Linked DNA regions of Oryctolagus cuniculus. Each later gene encodes a partner of the first gene's protein in a complex. Links are inferred from orthologs where the notes say so. Each region holds a gene or a part of one and is shown on either strand. Other genes may lie near its edges.

Evidence for each region.
Region 2: the proteins of INTS2 (region 1) and INTS6 are in contact, whole or in part, in a cryo-EM structure (PDB 8RBZ), measured with the Homo sapiens proteins. The link is inferred for Oryctolagus cuniculus from reciprocal best matches to the Homo sapiens genes INTS2 and INTS6. Residues at the interface, in NP_065799.2 of Homo sapiens: Ile855, Asp856, Pro857, Leu858, His895, Arg923, Glu925, Leu926, Lys927, Ala929, Leu930, Ala932, Ala933, Gln934, Ser936, Ala937, Gln940, Ile941, Glu944, Asn1010, Lys1013, Leu1014, Phe1017, Gln1018, Gly1019, Tyr1020, Pro1021, Ile1046, Ala1047, Gln1048; in NP_036273.1 of Homo sapiens: Ile484, Val486, Arg487, Ser488, Arg489, Phe527, Gln528, Val529, Ala530, Leu531, Leu532, Asn533, Phe541, Arg542, Asn543, Ala544, Tyr545, Ile547, Arg549, Leu552, Leu553, Leu556, Met559, Arg560, Asn562, Leu563, Leu564, Lys565.

What each region holds. Positions count from the first base shown.
Region 1 is NC_091448.1:35,558,237-35,562,041, reverse strand, and holds part of INTS2 (integrator complex subunit 2), read right to left. Parts: intron 2,354-3,805; coding exon 2,282-2,353; intron 2,197-2,281; coding exon 2,082-2,196; intron 22-2,081; coding exon 1-21. UniProt on the Homo sapiens protein: Component of the integrator complex, a multiprotein complex that terminates RNA polymerase II (Pol II) transcription in the promoter-proximal region of genes.
Region 2 is NC_091440.1:70,840,976-70,845,369, forward strand, and holds the start of INTS6 (integrator complex subunit 6), read right to left. Parts: upstream 2,911-4,394; 5' UTR 2,364-2,910; coding exon 2,253-2,363; intron 2,108-2,252; exon of another isoform or gene 2,018-2,107; intron 1,871-2,017; coding exon 1,793-1,870; intron 1,003-1,792; coding exon 853-1,002; intron 1-852. UniProt on the Homo sapiens protein: Component of the integrator complex, a multiprotein complex that terminates RNA polymerase II (Pol II) transcription in the promoter-proximal region of genes.

The DNA.
Region 1 (3,805 bases):
GGAGCTTGGCTTAATTACAATCTAAAATAACCAAAAGAATTACAACAGCACATGAAAATCCAATACATGAAGCACAACTTACTCTGGTGCTTTTATTATCTAAAATGGCTGGGCTTATATAAAATTTAGTATTCAAATGTAAGTACACAGGACTGGTGTTGTAGCACAGCAGGTTAACACCCTGGCCTCAAGCACTGGCATCCCATTTGAGTGCCAGTTTGAGACATGGCCGCTCCACTTCTGATCCAGCTCTCGGCTATGGCCTGGGAAAGCAGAAGTTGGCCAGACTCCTTGGGCCCCTGCACCCACGTGGGAGACACAGAAGAAGCTCCTGGTTCCTGGCTTCAGATTGGCGCATCTCTAGCCGTTGCGGCCAATTGGGGAGTGAACCAGCAGATGGAAAACCTCTCTCTCTACCTTTCCTCTCTCTGTTTAACTTTGACTTTCAAATAAATAAATAAAATATTTAAAAAAAAGTAAGTACACACTCTGCTTCAGAAATAATGTCTCAAACCCAACATTAAAGTGTGTTTTCCCTCAGAAACAGAATCAATATAAAAACAGCTTATTAAATTCTATTATTGTCATTTAAAGTCAGTGAAAGGAAATGCATAATTTGATAAATGGAGCTGGGTTAGCTATCTTGTTGTGTGGGTAGTAGGAATACACACCAATACATTTTAATCATACTCACACTATCATGCACCCAAATGAACTCCAAATGGATTAAATATTTAATATAAAATATGAAGCCACAAAAAAAACCACTAAGATAAAATGTGACAAGTTACAAAAACTTAAGGAAAGAAAGTTTCTAAGCACAATGGCAAAATAAAAATCACAATAGAAATATTATACTACATAAAAAGTGATAATTTCTACATAGTAAAAAATACTTGACAAAATCAACTGTAACATTATACTTCACTTTTAAATATACTAAGTAATATAAGATACATCACTGACTTAATAGTAGTTTTTCAAGGAAACAAGGGAGGAGGGGGAACACCATCACATTTACACTACATGCCATTGTAAAATGAATCATGAGTGTCAGTATTGGGTAAAATGCATGTCTTAAAATCAACAAAACATGATTATATAAGGCAGAATGGTTTTCTTTTATAGGGAGAGCCACTGATCAATCAATGAAAGGAAAAATAAAAATTTCTACAGAAAAATTAGGATACTAAAAGAGTTCTCCTCATACACAAAGAAAACAATCAAAACCCATAGATTTGAAAAACTACAGTTTTACTTGTAAACAAAGAAGTACAAAATAAGTAAAAACATTCTTCATCAAATTTACAAAGACTAAGAAAAATGGTAATGCCTAGTAACAGTGGGAGTTTACAAACACAGAATTTCTCATTCAGCAACAGGGACAGTTAAACTGGTGTCATCTTTCTGAAAGGTAATCAGGCAATCCTCATGAAACATCTTATCATAATCATACTCCTTTACTTAGTCAACTTCCTTCTAGAACTTTATCCTAAGAAACAACCTGATAAGCATATGAAGACATAGATGTGTGAGTGCCTGTATGCAAATGAAGGGTCTCAAAAAGCTTCTAAAAAGTGTTTATTAAGAAAAAAGTAGGCATGGATTTAAAAATTTTTGCATCAAAATAAGCTTACTTTTTAATTCTACTTTTGCACATACTTTATGAAGTACCCTCAGAGTTATATAAAATACCACTGTAGGGCCAGCGTTGTGGCAGAGCAGATAAAAGGTACTGGTTGGAGTCCCAGGTGTTCCACTTCCAATCCAGCTCCCTGCTAACAGCCTGGGAAAGTAGAGGCAGTTGGCTCAAGTGCTTGTAGTATAACTGAAATTTCTGAATGACAGAATTAGATTTTTTCTCTTGTTTTGTATTTTCCAAGCTTTCTGTACTGGACATCTATAATTCTTACAAATAAGTGTTCTCCAAGTGCATTTTTTCAGGAGCTCATGATAAAACTTCAAACTATCAAAAAACTAAAATTGCACAAATGAAAACAATCTATTTACTTGACACTACAATAACATGTCCAGCTTAGAAGCACTTTCTTTTAGAAAGAAGATTAAAAAAACAAAATTACCTTCATCCCCAAAGTGGAACACACTAAGTCAATGATGGCACTAAGTTGGTTGCTGTGAAAGTACATGGCCACCAACAATAACATCTCCCCAAATGAAGCAGACACACCTGAAGTGCTGTGAAAACAGAAAAGAAAATACAGCTTTCCAAAAAGAATGAGAAAAGCTTTCTAGCTAACTGAAACAAATCAAGTCGTCTTACCTCTCAAAGTAGGCTTCTTCTTTTATCATCCAACTTAGCCACACCACCATGAGTTGCTCCTGCTCAGGTGTACTACAGAAAACAGACCAGTGTGTTACTGGTTTAAATGAAACAAAACAGCAACTGATTAAGAAAGCATTCTGAAATAAACTTTGGTAGGAATTAGTACTTCCTTTCCTACTTTAAAATATCAAACCAAATTAACTGCTGGCTAAATCAAGCCACTGTCACTCAGATATGAAGTGGCAGTTCCAGAGGTCAAGGATGGGGATCTCTGTTTTCCACAAATCTCAACAGTCACAACCTCTCCAGGTCTTAGTTACTGCATTTGCAAAGTAGAGACACTGCACTTTGTCACATTCCTTAGAAAAGCAAGTATCTTTTGGGATTAAAATGTTAAAAACTTTATCAATAACTGATTTTTTGTTTATTTATTTGAAATGTAAAGTTACAGGGACTGGGGGGTAGAGAGAGATTTTCCATCCATTGGTTCATTCCCCAAATGGCTGCAGTGGCCAGAGCTGAGCCAGGACAAAGCCAGGGGCCAGGAGATTCATCTGGGTTTCTCACATCAGTGCTGGGGCCCAAGAACTTATGCTATGTTCTGCTGCTTTCCCAAGTGCCTTAGCAGGGAGCTGGATCAGAAGTGGAGCAGCCAGGGCTCGAACCAGCACCCATATGGAATGCCTGAGTCTCAGGCTGCAGCTTAACCCATTAAGCCACAATGCCAGCCCAATACTGATTTCATATAGAAAAAAAATCTAGTAAAAAATTCAAGCATCAAAAGACCACAAAATTTAGTACTAAAAAATAACAAGCTACTTCATCTGTTCCCTGAAAAATGAAATTTAATTTACAGAAACCTTGAGCTTAGAATTCAAAATTATAGAGTAATAAATGAGGACTAAGCATGAAACAAGAGGGGCCAGTGTTGTGGTGCAGCCACCAGCGAAGCAATATCCCATATAAGCATCAGTTCAAATCCCAGTTGCTCCGTTTCCTATTGGAAAAACAGAAGATGGTCCATGTGCTTGGGCCCCTGCCACCCACAATGACAGACCTAGATGGAGTTCCAGGCTCCTGGCTTTGGTCTGGCCCAGCCCTAGCCAGTACAGCCATTTGAGGAGTGAACCTGCAAATGGAAAACTTCTCTCTATAACCCTGCCTTTCCAAAAATAAGTAAATCTTTAAAAAAGAAAAAAATATGAGGAAGAAGAAACAAGACAGCCAGAGGCCGGCGCTGTGGCTCACTAGGCTAATCCTCTGCCTGCGGCACTGGCACCCCAGGTTCTAGTCCCTGTTGGAGTGCCACATTCTGTCCTGGTTGCTCCTCTTCCAGTCCAGCTCTCTGCTGTGGCCCGGGAAGGCAGTGGAGGATGGCCCAAATCCTTGGGCCCTGCACCCGCATGGGAGACAAGGAAGAAGCACCTGGCTCCTGGCTTCGGATTGACGCAGCGCGCCGGCCATAGCGGCCATTTGGGGGGTGAACCAACGGAAAAGGAAGACTTCTCTCTCTCTGTCTCT
Region 2 (4,394 bases), on another chromosome or scaffold:
TAACACTACACATTCTTCAGTATCTTTTTAATTCTAAGATAACAATATCCTAAAAAGTCATATGGATCACCTTGCGTTATTCCTTAGTGAACCATCATTGTGATTCAAAGCTTCTCTCACACTCAGATACAAGTGCTATACAGAGACAGCAGGTCAAGGAAGCTCTGTCCTATTTTCCAGACAGCCTTGTTTTCCTTGATGGTTTGGAGATTTAGACTTTGTTTTTCTAATTAGGAAAAGTAAAAACTCTGGATTCTGGACCTGTAATTTAATTCAGACTTTCTCTTGCAATAATTGCTAATTAGAAAAAATCGTAATGTACTCAGCCAGTTATTGTGCTTCCATAAAAATCTTACCTTTGAGAGAACTCACACAATACTAGAACACAGGGTTAAGTTAAACCCTGATGCAACCAACAGGATAATTCCCTCTGCCATGTTTACTAAGATGGAAATGAAAACCACTGACAACTAAGTCCAACTTGGCCACCGCTAAAGCTGCACACCTGCCTGAGGATGGAGGAGCAGAGCAACTGAGGATGCTGAGGTGCGAGGTCTTCCTGGCCTGTCTCCCGTGAACTTTCAAGGAATGAAAACCACATTCACATTAAACTCTACAGCAAAGACTTCAGATTCTACTTCTGAATACAAATGCCTTTTAAGGGAAAAGAAACTAAGGGATATAAAACCATGCACAGTAAGTCGGAGCTTCACCTTTGTACTATGTGCATACTGTATTTTACTCTGAAATGTTCCACACTTGCACTTCACCTTAGATAGTTTGGGACTGGGCTGTTTTCTTTTTCCCCACAAGAAAAATCAACTATTTTTCCACTTTTAATATTCAACCTACCTGCCCATAGTTGTCTATGCCAGTTACTAATCTATTTAAATTTAATAAATCAAAAGCTGTCCTTAGGGATTGGCCAAGAGTCGTAAGTCCTTCAGCCTGAAGGTTTTTCAGTTCATTCATAAACGTTGCATGGTTTTCTTTCCATCCGGCCTGAAAAGAAAAACGTGAGAATTTTTTTTTCTTCCTGTAACGCTAAATGCACACGGCCAGCCGTTACAATCTGACGTGCACCATGTAGCTGCTTCACTTTGGGTTGACATGGTTGGGTTAACGTGTTAATACTGTTATCGCTGCTGAGGAAACTCTCTGCCAAAGGTAGCCGGCAAGCAACCGGCCTGCTCTACAGCTTTTGGTAGCCAGCAGCCTGCACACTTTCTAACTTCACACTGGGAAATCTACTACCTAATCTAACACTCAAAATGTGGGGATGCAAACGTCCTAGGGGCAGGCGGCCGGGAGCGGCACTTGGGAAGTTAACCTCCAGCAGCCCTCCCAGGGCGAATCCGAGCAGCCCCAGCCTCGCAGCCCCCTTCGGCGCGCCTGATTCCCCTTTAATGCAAACCGGGGCTCGGCGCGGCCGGGCCCGGCTGTCACTCGGGCTAACTTGAATAAATATCCCCCACAGTTCATTGCTGCCGCTCACGCCGCGGAGGGGAAATGTCGGCCATGTTGATCGCAGCGCCGCCGCCGCCGCCGCTGCCGCCGCGGGGCCGGGCCGGGCCGGGGAGGGGACGGCGGTGGCCCGGCGAGTCCGCGCCGCGCCGGGACGCTCCCGAGCGGGGGAGGGGGGTGGGAGCCCGCAGGGGAAGGGCCCTCCGCCCCGGGAGCGCAGCGGGTGGGGGAGGGGAGCATAATGAAGGGTGAATGGGGGGGCGGGGAGGGCGAGCGAGGAAGGAACAGGGAAGGGAAGGAAGGGAAGGGGGAGGGCGAGGGCTGTTACCTTGATAGCATAGGGCGGCTCTTCGAAAGTGACCAGCATATACCTGTCTCCTCTGCTGGCAGGGTCCCGGGCACGGAGCTGCGGGCCGGGAGGAGGAACGGGGCGGGCGAGAGGGAAGCAGAGAGGCGAGGTTACGAGGCGAAGAAGGGGCGCCCAGCGTCCCCCGCCGCCCCCCACAGTATCCGCACACGCAGCGGCCACCCCTCCACGCCGCCCCACACACACCGATCGCTCCCTACACACCAGCCCCGGGGCCGGAGCCCGGGCCCGGGCCGAGCCCGGCTCGCAGCGCCCGCCCGCCCGCCCGCCCGCGCGGTGGGGGAGGGGGTCCCGGAGCCCGGCAGCTCCCGCAGTCAGGTCCCCGACACCCCCGCCCCGCCGCCCCCAGCCGCCCTCCCCCACCCTGCCGCCCGCGGGCCGCCGGGCCGGGGTCGCCGCCCCGGGCTCGGTCAGTCGGTACCTTCATGAAGGTCTCTACCGCGCCTTTGGCCGTGTCCAGGTAGGTGGTGCCCAGATGGCTGCGCTGGTTCATAGAGGCAGACGTGTCTATCAGGAACAGTAAGATGGGCATAGTGCTGGCCGGGGACACCGGGGCCCGAGGTGGTGGAGAAAGAGGAGATGGTAGAGGTGGAGGCGCCGGTGGCGGCGGCAGTCGCCGCCGCTACGCGGGGCGGGGGAGCGCGGCCCCCGGGAGGAAAACACCGTCTGGGTCTTTCCTCCGGCTGCGGGGAGTTTCTCCCCCGATAGTTGAGAGGAAACTCCCCAGACCCAGTCCTCCCCGTCGTACCCCCGCCTCCGCCTCCTCCTGCCTGCCTGCCCGCTGGGGCGGGCGCCCGGCCGTCTGTCTGTCGGTCCGTCCCCCCCGCCTCGGGGGTCCCGTCCCCGCTCCCGGCCCCTGTGTGTGTCCCAGCGGGAGACGGGCCTGGCTCCCCCACCCCACCCCCGGTGCAGGGAGTGGGGACCTGGGAGCTGGCGAAGAGGGGAGTGGGCTGAGGGGAGATTGGCCCTGGGGCTGTTGGGAGAAGTTTCAGGGACTCCCTCCGCACCCCGGCGGTGTCACCACTTTCTCAGCCCCTCTCGCTACTGAAGCGCTTTTCTCTCTCACACTCCGGTTTTAACTCGGGTAGGGGCTGCGGGGGCTCCGCCCCCTGACACGTCCCCGGGCCACGTGACGCACCGCCCCGCAGCTCCATTGGCTAATCCCGAGGCTCTTATTAGCATATTCAAACAGGTCAGGGGCGGGGGCTGCTTGTAGGCCGGCTCTGAGGGTTGTTATCGAGCATGCGCGGAGGCGGGGCGTCGGGTGCGCGCGAGAGCGAGCGCGAGGGACGAGCAGGCGGGCCGTCGCGGAGGCGGGCTCTGGGAAGGGGCGGGGACTGGCTTCGGAAGGACCGCGAGGTGGGGGGCGGGGGCTGCGTCGGCGCGCGCAGGGCGGCCGCCACTGTGAGCCTGCGCGTCAGGGCCACTGGCCTCTCCTTGGCTGTTGGAGGTGACAGGGGTCGGAGGAAGGCAAATGGAGATTGTCCTCAGCTCGCCCTCCGAGGTCGCTGGTAACGTGGACGACCGAGGAGGGCTGAGTAAAGTGAACACACACTCGGTTAAGGGCAGGGGGCAGGCCCGCGGCCGCCCTCGCGAGGAAGGCTCGGGACCCGCGGTGGCGGGAGGAGGTTCCCGGGCCTGGGAGGGCCGGCCCAGCGCGGGCGGGCCCGGGGCGGGGGAGGGGAAGTGAGAGGTTGTTTATGACCGGGGACTAATCGCGGCGAGTCACACCGCTCCCGCTGGGGAGTGGGCCCGAGGGCCTCGCCTCGCCCGGATCCTCGGGCGCTGCGGGGGCGACGGCCGAAGGCTGAGGGCGGCGCTCGGCAGACCCGGAGCCTTGCCGTCGGAAGGGGCACCCAGAAAGCCGCCGAACCCGGGAACGGCCTAGGGAGAGACTGGAGCTTATGGATAAGTGCTTTGCTACCCTTTTTATCCTGAGCAAACGTAACTGCTCCTTCCCAGAGAAAAAGACTTTTTCCAAGCTGTTTACTCAGGGTCATAGGATATCAGTTTCAGAGTTGAAAGGGACTTTAGCAAATCATCCATTGCCCTCATTTTAAAGTGAAAAACCTGACATGAACTTGCCCAGATAACACAGTGACGGGGGTTCCCAGAACCCTCCCTTACAAGCAGCCCCTCCAACTCCAAAACCCGTGTGTGTGTGTGAGAAGCAGTCTCGGTCAAGCCCCTGCCTTACCTGAAGTCATGAATCTGCTCCGAGAAAAACAGCTTCCTCGAACTCGCTGAAAAAAATGAAGACTGCCTTAGATACAATTAAGAGACTTAATTAAGCGGCCTTTGTAGGGATAGCTAATTTGTAGGACGCCTCCCGTTAGCCTGTCCTTTCCAGATTTTATTCTTTAATCTTGAAATTTTATGTGCCTACTGATCATTTAAAGAAATTGTTCCTATTAACACAGAAGACATGTTGTGGCATTTTTTTTTAAAATCTTGAGTTTCAAAACTTCCCGATATTTATGACAACCTTGGAGATTTTTTGTTAATTTATAGTCAGGCTATTTCAGTGAAAAGTGTTTTGTAAGTGTGGACCATAGAAGAGGTA